Drosophila melanogaster: one gene and its partner. The gene in region 2 interacts genetically with the main gene of each other region. Each region holds a gene or a part of one and is shown on either strand. Other genes may lie near its edges.

Region 1 (5,769 bases), on a different chromosome or scaffold from region 2:
TGGAACGTTTCCTGGTCCTTGTTTTCCTTAAGGTAATACGTTTCATTTACTTTTCCTTTTTTTTTTTTGTTAAAAAATTATTCTTTTCCATTATAGTAATGAAAATTTCAACGGGCGCAAAAATTTCAAAGGCAAATTTTCAAAAAATACATTTTATTGGTACCTCGTTTAATGTTCGGCTTTACTTGTTTCGCGCAGCATAGTATTTAATTTGAATACCGACCATAAACATTCAAATATTTTTTGAAGCGAATTTATTACAAAATGCTAACTTTGTCATACAAACAATTCAGGCAAGATCTGGGCGACTTGGTCGGGGGTGGATTAAAACAAACACTCCCAAGGAGCAGCTCGCATAAAACCCAACGCCAAAGCATTTTTGAGGACACGGGAACAGCAGCAGATGGATGGAGGCAACGAGGACCTTCGGCGAGGTCGAATGCATGTCTTATCACCGAGCACTGGTATTTGGACTCACGTGGCAGCAGCAGCCAAAGTGCCCAGGAGAATGCTTATGGGAAAATGCAACATAAAATACTTTTTAAATGCGAATAAATATTTGGCAGCTGTGCGGTGAAATACCATCAAAGCGCTGCTCGTGGAGCTCCATTGGTGGGGTTGGGGCTTGTGTCGAAGGAAAGTGAAAATTTATATGTTAAGAGACCGAATTTACATTCCATGACGGCGTAAGCAGCTCAAAATGAATCAAATGGGGTAAGAAATTACCTGCAGTTAAGCGCCAATATTGGTTGCAGAATTGCAGATAAAGTAGCTCAAGCGAAAGGCGAGCACCGAAATATATCTGCTAGATAAACAGGGCTCAAGGTACTGTAGGTCGCGTATTAAAGCAACAGCATTAAAATTTCTGTAACTAATTGAATTAAATTTTACACTTTGTAATAGCAAAGTTACTGTTTCCCTATTATTTTACCATACAATTTTAGTTGAATGTAATACATTTCATGCTCAGTAAAAGAATCTAAAAACTTGATATATAGCATAATAATTAATTACCGAAAAGGCATTGCTGCTCATTTTGCAACCAACTTTTAACAAATTGCTACGCACTACATAAAGCCCACTTCACTTGACTTTTAACACCCCGGCAATTTGAGAGTTTATGAATTCATAAACTCGCCCAATTAGAGGCGTAAACATTTTCGGACTGAAAATCGTGCTCAATTAAATTCATGCAGGGTTCGTTTTGGGGAGAAATATAAAGCGGAAATATTATGAGCCAAGTACTCCGCTTAATAAAAATGCAATAAATGGGCAGATAAGCCTGAAAAGTTGCCACGAATCTTTGAATTTAGCACGGAGCAAAAACACGGACTCCTGCTAATGAAAAGCATCCGATTTTCATCTGCAATTGTCCCCAGTTTGTTTTTTGGCATTCTCATTGCCTTGGGGCATGTTAATTTTCGAAGGGGATTCCCCTGCCCTGCGGTGATTAGTATGCACATGTGAGACGGCGGGGCCAAAGTTCGGATGCTGCCAGTAAACACACTGGCTAAACAATTTAATTAATAAAAATATGCAAATTTCATTAGAGCGAGAGCAGTTCAAGGAGACTCGCCCTCCACTTTTGGCCCAAAAAGTTTCCTAAGCTTCTATGCGTCTATGTATTTCGTATTTTTGGGGCTTAAGCCATTTTTTTGGTGATGCTCAAGTGAATTTTTAAAGCCCCTTAAGCATTTTTTAATTGTTGCCCAGTTGAGGTAAACTCCTTTATTCCAAAACGAATTAATTAAGCACGAAAGTTTCCGCATCTGAGTGTTTTCACAGACCCAGGGATAAAAGAAAATGAGCGTCGATGAAAAAGGAAATCCCAAGACCCAAATCATCAGCCCTCTTACCGTCTGCATCTCCTGTTTGCTGCCTTTTGTAAATTTAAAGAAAACACGAATTACGAATTGTCCACAAATCGACACAGTAGAGAGCATTTCATAAACAACCGGAGGGCAGGACATGAAAATGAGTAGTTTTTTTCACGACCTCCATTTCATCCAAAGCACCTGAGCGAGAGAATTGAATTTTCCAGAAGTGGCATTTTGCGCAAGAAAGTAGGCAACACAAAATGATCAAAAGGTCGACGGAGGTGTGAAAAACAGTGAATAAAAGTACTTTTATTGCGGAAATTGATGGATGTGAGTTTAGTTAAACTTTTATACTTTGTCAATTGAAAAGTGCTATAAAATAGTGCATAAAAATAAATATTTTACTTAAATAAGATTTGGGATTTTTTTGGATTCGGAATCATGTGAACTAAAACCAATTAAAATCAAAGCTTAAAATAGTATCCGAATTAAGCTGCTATACCCACATTCAAAGCCAGTTAAAACATAATCCGTCTTGTTTACAATTTCTTCCATGATACTGAATATTCAATTTGAAAATCGGATGTAAAAAATGGAAAGGATTAGAAGCAATTGGCGTGGACACTGTGCAAAAGCAACTCACGTTTTCTACTGCCGCAGCTAAGCGGCTTTTGCGATGCACCGCATTTAATACATTTTTAATTTCATCACTTTTCAATTATGCTTTTTTTAATCTACATGGTTAAATGGTCTTCAATTTGATGCCCACGTAAGCGAAATTAAATTGCTGATTTATTAAACGTTCAACTTGAAGTCGCGCTTGTCGGCAACTTCAATTGAATTTTCTTTAAGTTTTTTTTTTTTTTGGGCCATCAAGTCATTCGAATCACTGAACAATTGAGGAGTTTCTGCGAACTCGAATCGCCCAACTGTTGTTCCTCCTAATGCAGGGAAATTAATTTCATAAGCCCAACTTTAAGATCAGAACTTCCACAAGTTCTCACTAAACTTTTGGCAATTTAAGTTAGTAACAGCCAAGTGCGCTGCTCGTAAGATCATAAAACTATAAAGGCGCTCTAATGTGGGAGCAAAAGTAAAGCTCAAAATGATTGCGATAATCCAAAGGACTTAGTTGGCCCGAGCCGGGCCAAGAGGTAATAAAGCCAAGGAGCCAGCTTCAATTTTGCAGCAAGAAAATAAAGATTTACCCAGATACGAGTACTGGGGCCAAAAGGTCGCCTGGGCCAAAGCCCAAAGAGTGCCCAGCCCATTTAGGAAGGACAAAGGGGATGCAACAAATGTCCTGGGCTCAACACACATCATCGAAGGACCTCAGCATCGGTCCTGGGTTACATGTTGACTTAATGGCTTAGGCCAGCTAAGAAGCAATTTATAAAAAGGCCAGCTCATTTTCTGAATAATAAACGTTGGCAGTTTTGAGCAAAGAAAGCATAATTAAGAGCAAGTATTAACAAGAATTTAAACACTAGAAATTTAATAAAAAGTTCACTTTCTTAAAATTAAAATATTTACGAAATTGTTGTCTAATTGATTGACAATAATTCTACAGCAAGAAAACTATCTTCAAATTCAATGCAAATTTAATTTTCAAACTAAAACACGGGAAAAACCGTGTGTTTTTGAAAATGTTTGATTTTATAATTTGCATACCAAAAACCTTAAAGAACTTTTCCTTAAAAGCAAAAGAAAAATAGTTTGAAATTTAGTAAAAGTTGCAAATTAACCGTCGGCAAAAAAAAAGGATTAAAATCTTATTGATTGCGAATTTTATGTAAATAGTTTTCTGAAGTTCAAAATGTTTTAGGTTTTTTAGAACTAATTAAAATCAAAAACGCAAGGTTTTATTTACTTAGAGGATTATGAAAATTACTAATAAATATTAGTTAATAATATGAACTAATAAGATTTTTTGGACATAAGAGTTTTTCTTTACTCAAATTAATAATAAGCATACGAAATTTTCAATTTATTTTTTAATTTTAACTGAAAATTAAATATCTTTATCACTCACCCTTTTTCACAAATGCACACAACACTTTCGCTTTATTTGCGATCAAAGTTCGATTGGTTTAGATCGATTCCACTGCAAAACACAAGAACAAAGTTCAAAAACGTTGAGAGACGATGCTCGATGGGATTTTGAAAAACTTTTTGGAATCGGTTCTTTACAATATTAACCGTTACTGCTGCTGACTGCACCGCTTTGAGACTGAAACGCAAGTGAAATCGGCAGCCAAGGAGACCGCGATTTATACGAGTCCAGGATACGAAAGATTTCAACGCGTTCAGGTGGCACCCGAGTGGAAACTCCGAAGTTCGGTCCACGTCCTCGGGTCCGCCCACGACGTGATACTTGCTGCTTTTGGGCCGATTTCAATGGGGATTGTGCGCAGTCATGGGATGGTCGTTGGGTGCTGGCCAACTGGTCGTATACGCAACACGTGGCAAAAGGGCAACAGCAACACGGCAACACACAGTTGGCTACGTTCTGCATCAGTTTATTAATCATCTATTACGCACAATTATCGAAGCGTTTATCGAGCCATTGTCCATCGATCATGACTATCAGCATTGGATTAATCAGCATCTGATAGTTTTCAATTAGTGCCCGCGGATGCGGCAGCTGTCAGCCATCAAATCCAATATAAATCCCCCCCAATATTCCAGATTATTAATAACTTTACGTGCATTATCTCATAATTGGCAGTACATCAGCTATCTCATCGTTCTGCGAAGCAACTCTGACTAATCAGTTGAGAGATTACCATCACAATTATTCGGTTATTTTCGCATGCTCACAATTAGTCGTCCCTAAAAGCCATATATCGTAATGAGATAAGAGACACCATATTGATAAGGAAGTTATATCATTGGCTATATCCGGACTGACTGATGTAAATTGAATGGTTGCTGTTGATATTTGATTATGGCAATCCTAAATAGTAAATAAAGGTTATGTTGCCTACAAAAATATGTTCCATATTCAATAATGGCCACTTCATTGACTTGTGATTATATGATATTTTAAAACTTAGTATAGACCAGTTGTCTAAAATATTATATTCAATATTCAAATTTGCAATCATAAAATATTTTTCAAATTACCACAGACCAATGTGAATTGGAATCCATTAATGTTAAGGAAAGTATCATTTTATAGAGCATTTTCATTGAATTATTTTGACAATTAGTGCTAACGAATTGCAAGTTCTTTTTGTTTTCTAACTCAGCTTAATATACCTTAATCCATGTAAATCCTTTCAGTGACCCACATTTTTTCAGAAGCTAATTCATGTGTACCAAAAGGTTGGCTAGCGGAAATGGGGAAATGCCAAATGCGTATGTAGGGAATCCTAACCGCCCATATCCACATGGAAGTATGCATGTTTATCTGGACAAATACATATATATGGATTTTATGGCAGGCACAGAGAACGCGGCTAATGATAATTTGGGCTGATAAAAGCTTTACAATGTTTTTGTTGCTTCCGACGACGTGTCCGGCTTGGTATTTGGTTTTTGCCATACTTATTCGGCGGTTACCATGAACGTGATTCTAATCTCTGGAGCAGCGACCTTGCCCATGTAAAAAAGCCGCTCAATGGATCTCGCACGATGGAATTGGACAAGACAGCTGGACATATGAACATTCTACTGTCAAAGTTCCGGCGAGTCATGTTAATTAAGAGAAATTATGCAAGCGAATTGCTACTTTTGGTCAACCTACTCATAATACATAATTCGTCAAAGGCGAGACATCAAAGAAATTGCATTTTGCTGTACTCCCACTGGATAGATGGTTCGGAAATGAGGAGTTTTACGAAAAAAATATATATAAAATATATATGCATATAAATCAGTTATTATGAAAATTGAAATTGACTTTGTTGTGTGTACACGTTGCAACTTCCCGCTGAGCAAAGACCGTTGC
Region 2 (4,996 bases):
GATTACAATATTCGATCGTCCGGGGCGAACGTGACTTCCGCTTTCCCATTCAGCCAACGAGTTTTTCATGTGAGATCGAGCAGCTACAGTCGCATCAACAGGCATGTGAAGGAGAAGAGTCCGTTTCAGCAATTATCAAGCAAAAGTCAGCGCCATCAGAGTGCGTTTCCAAAAATATAAATCAATAAAAAGCTGTGGAAGCAGCTAAAGCTTTATAACCTATAACCATATGTGTGAGTATCTCAGATATTCCGCACTCAATTGCAAACTGAACTAACTAACATTTACTTTCGCATCCTTTCAGCTTGGCAAAAGCAGTGGCCAGAGCGTTTTCGGGGCATGCGACTTAGTCACGGGTGTGCTGGTAGATGTGCCTCCGCTGCAGCCACATACTGTATGCTAGATTAGCCGTTAATGATTAGCCAAGGCAGTGTACGGCCAGTTAGTTAGTATTTATGCAATAGCAGGCATAGTCATGTAAGTGAAAAGCTACCGAAACTGCATTTTGAGCCGAAGCAAGAAGCATCAACATATACACACATTCGCATATGTTACAATTGTTTTATTAATCGGACCGAAAGGCCAGCGAGAATTGATTGTTTTGTAATTTGAAAATGAATAGAATTGTATACATCATGTTTGTAGTAGTTGCCAACAATTCGATTGTCTAATGTTGTAATTTCAATATGGCATTAACATTTGCATAAATACACACACACATAGTTCAAGCTTAATCAGACATAATGCATACGCATAACTTTTTCTATACAATACTTACCGATTTCAAACAGCGCCAAATGAACTTACACATAAATCGAATCGAGAATCGTTCGATATTTAATATAAATCAGCAACATTGATTAACATAGTTATATATCTTATAAGAAAAATATATATATTGCCGTCATTTAAACGCGCCTACAACTGTTTTCCTGCGGCGGGTAAACATCGAATTGGAAGCAAACAAGTTAAGCAAAATGTGGCGTGCAAAATTTGTTTTTGCTGATTTTCAATTGTATTTCGCTATTTACTTATCATCTGCGGATATTTGTTATTGTCTGGCGTAGAAAACTTTCGTATATATAAAGGCCTCTAAAGCCTCGTCTTATACATTCACGATTCTTGCAAAGCCGCACAATGAAGCTAAGCACTTATCTATTGGCGCTCGTCCTATTCGCCGGATTCTGCCTGCTGCAGCCTTCCTCAGCCCAGACCAATTCCACCACATCCACCAACACCACAACCACGGAGGCAACCACAACCACCACTGCCAAGGCCACAACCGTTCATAGGAAACATTTTACGATCCGTAATCTCCACTATAAGACAGTGCGCAGGATCCATGTTAACAAGAAATCTGGTTAATAAGATCTTTAGCTTACCAAACAATGGCGAATAAAAAATACCTAAAGAAAACACATTTCTAATAATGGGCACAACAATTTATACTTCTACATACAGATCTTTTTGTCTTTCTGTTTATAAGTGTGTTTTTTATGAACATACTTTAGTTCTCATTTAGTTTACTTTCTACGCATTTGTTTGCCAAGTTCATGGCCAAGTTCCTTAGGTTTTGACTGCTTAGATATAGCATAATAAATGAAGTCAATAAACGAAATGGGGCTGCTATTCTAAGCTAGAAACATCTATTTATTCCAATCGTAGCATTGAACAAAATCTACTTTGAGAACACCTTTGGCTTTCATTGGTTCGCCCTTTACGGGGATAACCAATATCTTTAACTAGCTTTAGTATCTGTGATTAAGAATAAAAATCCTGACTAGTTGTTGTACCAGATTTCAAGTCGAAACAATCCAGAAAACGTTTATTTCAGCAGTAAGCCTAATAATATACAACATTTCTACAATAGGCTACTTGTATATTTTTCTATTTAGGTTTAAAGCAACAAAAGTTATACGGTCTTTTCTCTCTATTAGATGACTACACCGGCTTTTATCTGCGGATTTTCATTTTCCTTCGACGCACCAAAAAATCATACTATAACATCAAATAATAAATTCTTGTCCAGGTTCCATCTTTCAGTGGTGGGTCGTCCTAATCCTTCAGCATTTTCCGTTCTTACTTGCCCGCATCGTTCATGTTCTTGGGCAGACTCAACAAGGAGTTGATTAGCTCCGAGTTGCGCTTCCTGATGGGCACGGATGGGCCCAAGGAGTTCTCGAGGATCAGCGGATAGCGACAGAGAGTGGCCACTTGGCCGGGACTGAACTGTCCCACGCCCACGTTGTTGAACCAGTCGAGGAGATCCCGATTGTACTCCTTGCGCACATAGCGCTCCTCATCCGGCATGGCCATGGCGCCGCAGTATCCCCACTGGCAGCAAATGGCCAGAAGCACAAGGGCGACAAGGTACGTGTAGCGAGCCATTAGTCCGAGGAGCTGGAAGGATGGCCAGGAGCAGGAACTGAGCACGGAACACCTGCAGCAGGAGACTTGCGAATGAACGTCGGTTGGCGCATCCTCGACTTATATAGCAACCTGGACTGGATAACCCACTGCGGGAGACCGCCCGACCACGCAACCCAAGAGCGTCAGTATCGGTGTCATCCGCAGGACCAATACATGTCATCCGCAGGCAGCGGCGGTCCTTTAGCCCAGGCAAATACGGAGTCGAGTTGGAGCCACGCAAATATTTGGTTATGCAGTGTTTTATGTGCCAACATGCAGGCACCAAATCCCATTCAAGTCCAGCGATATTTGTACGGGAAGGCAGCTCACTGGCGACTCCATGTGGCACTCAAAAAAAAGGAGGATACCCAATTTAGGCACTTCTTTAAACCAACTTATTTATTGGATTTAAATAATATACGATTGCAGACAAAATTGCTGACCTTCCATTAAAACGAACCTTATTTGTGAATAATATTTTGCTCAATTCGTTTTCTCTCTGTGTAATTGTGTGATTAATTTTAGAACGAAGCTCGTAAAAATACCAATCTTAAATATATATAAAACTTAATAGCTAGCTCGGCAGTTGGGCCGTTTTGCGAAATTCCAGCTTGTTCCTTTGTTTGATCACCAAACTGTGTAAATATGGCCAAAAAATTTCGCGCGGACGTAATTGGCGAGAGCAAAATGCAAATATTTGCTGAGAAATTCCGCCAATTGTCTTGGTCACATATAAAACTCCCAGCCTCCGAAGTGGTAGTTCATCCGAGCAACGGCATCACCGAGCACACCATGAAGACAGGACAACTGGCACTCCGAATCCTAGCGATAAGCCTATGCATTTGGGCAACCAACGCCTCATCGCCAACCACCACGGAGACTACGACGACCACGACGGACAGTGACACCACCACCACGACGACAGCAGCCACCACGACCACCACCACCGCGTCCTCCTCCTCCTCCTCCTCCTCCTCGAAGGTCCATCGCAAGCGGTTCAGGATCAAGAACCTCAAGTACTCGATTAAGCGCAGGGTGCGCGTCTACCGTGACACCAGTGCCAGTTCCACTTCCAGGAACAGGACCAGGAATCGCTCCGGAAGGCGGGTCAGTGTGCGCAGCCTCAATAGGCTGCTGCGACGCCGCAATCAGGGCTAGGTTCCAAAATCCACATCAAGTCATATCCATACATGCAATAAAAGCAATTTTCCAAAAAAAAAAAACATCTGAGTATTTAAAACCATAAGGATAATAGAAAGGTCAGTACTAGAACGTGTGAAAAGCGAAGGATTCCCCAATGGTTGTTGCACATGTCGTATGCGTAATATATGCCAAATTACTTACCTTATTTGAAATTTTCTTTGTTCCCATCAACAGGTTGCCCCTTCTAGCATGGCTGTGCCCAGTCACACAACGCACATCATCCTTTATTTATGCCTGTTCAATGACTTCACGTGCGGCAAAAACATTGACCCAACTCCGCCCCCCAACCAATGGGCAAACATCGGATATATCTCGACGGGGTAGGTTTACGATGACTATAACTTTCCATGCAGCCACATTACCCAGCAGTTTGATGGCCAAGGCTCGGCGTCGTTCACTCCGACGATTTGTTTGCACTGCATTTGTGGCCAGACCCAAAATCCGGTGGGTGGAACGCGGACTCCGCGTTTATCGTCCACCGTTTGCCGTCTTAAAAGTCAGCTGAAGCATTTAATGGTCGTGGTGTGACTTGGAGGCACACATAAGTGAAACACGCATGGGTTCGATTTCGGTTGGGAAGACATTTCCAGGAGCGTCTTGGTCACATCAGAGTATAGAAAGTAAATGAAACTTAATTTCCCATATATTAAAATGGAAAAAAAAGGTTTTAAAATATATTAAGAAAGTTATTATTAGCTAGAATTTATTTAAGATCCATATTTTTTACTCTCTCCTTACTATGAAGAATCTTTACTTTTCGGTCTGCAGTTCGTCCCTGGACAAGCCGAAGATGATTCGTCCTGAACGCACACACAGGACATCGGGACGGGGGTCCGTGGCCATTCACCAATTACGCGCCATTCGCGGCTGTGTCCTTAATTTCTTAAAAAGCGTTTAAACATCTAATGAAAGCATTTGGGACCCCGCGATTTCTGCTGTCAGTTGCGTTTACCTTTTCGCCGTGTGCGGTTCGCTTCGTCGGTTCGGGTCGATTTGGTGGTATTCCTCGGTCCTGATTATCCGAGCTGCAGGAAGCGAGCACGAGAGGATTATGTCATTGCAGCCATGGCCAAGATAATCTCGACGATCAAGGCCATCCTCACGAGGATCATCTTCAGTGCGCACAGCCTGCTGGCCATTTGGCAGGTGGTGGCTTTAAAGAGTGATATCATATACTGGGCACTATGTGGACCACTGCTGTTGCTGCTGCTCGAGGGCATCTTCACCATCATGATCAAGAAGACGCAGGAGTGGCGCTGGTAAGGATGAAACCCACGGATCCTGGCTACCCCAGGCATCTGATTAAAACTCCCAACTCGAAATGTAAACAACAGTCAGTCGATGCTGACGTCATGCCGCGGGGTTTTGATTTTCAATTAAAAGT

Evidence for each region.
Region 1: of Pdf (region 2) and Dh31, changing one suppresses a phenotype caused by changing the other (phenotypic suppression), as found in Drosophila melanogaster (one study listed by BioGRID).

What each region holds. Positions count from the first base shown.
Region 1 is NT_033779.5:8,502,786-8,508,554, forward strand, and holds the start of Dh31 (diuretic hormone 31), read right to left. Parts: upstream 4,061-5,769; 5' UTR 4,008-4,060; intron 3,922-4,007; 5' UTR 3,850-3,921; intron 1-3,849. UniProt on the Drosophila melanogaster protein: Regulation of fluid secretion. Stimulates Malpighian tubules fluid secretion by activating the apical membrane V-ATPase via cyclic AMP of principal cells in the main secretory segment.
Region 2 is NT_033777.3:26,453,676-26,458,671, forward strand, and holds Pdf (Pigment-dispersing factor), read right to left. Parts: upstream 2,467-4,996; 5' UTR 2,389-2,466; coding exon 2,080-2,388; 3' UTR 1,787-2,079; downstream 1-1,786. Other genes in the region: CG5447 (uncharacterized protein), read left to right, coding at 1-34; CG43117 (uncharacterized protein), read left to right, coding at 1,138-1,365; CG14237 (uncharacterized protein), read left to right, coding at 3,202-3,567; CG14238 (uncharacterized protein), read left to right, coding at 4,678-4,871. UniProt on the Drosophila melanogaster protein: Neuropeptide PDF is the main transmitter regulating circadian locomotor rhythms. Required to maintain behavioral rhythms under constant conditions by coordinating pacemaker interactions in the circadian system.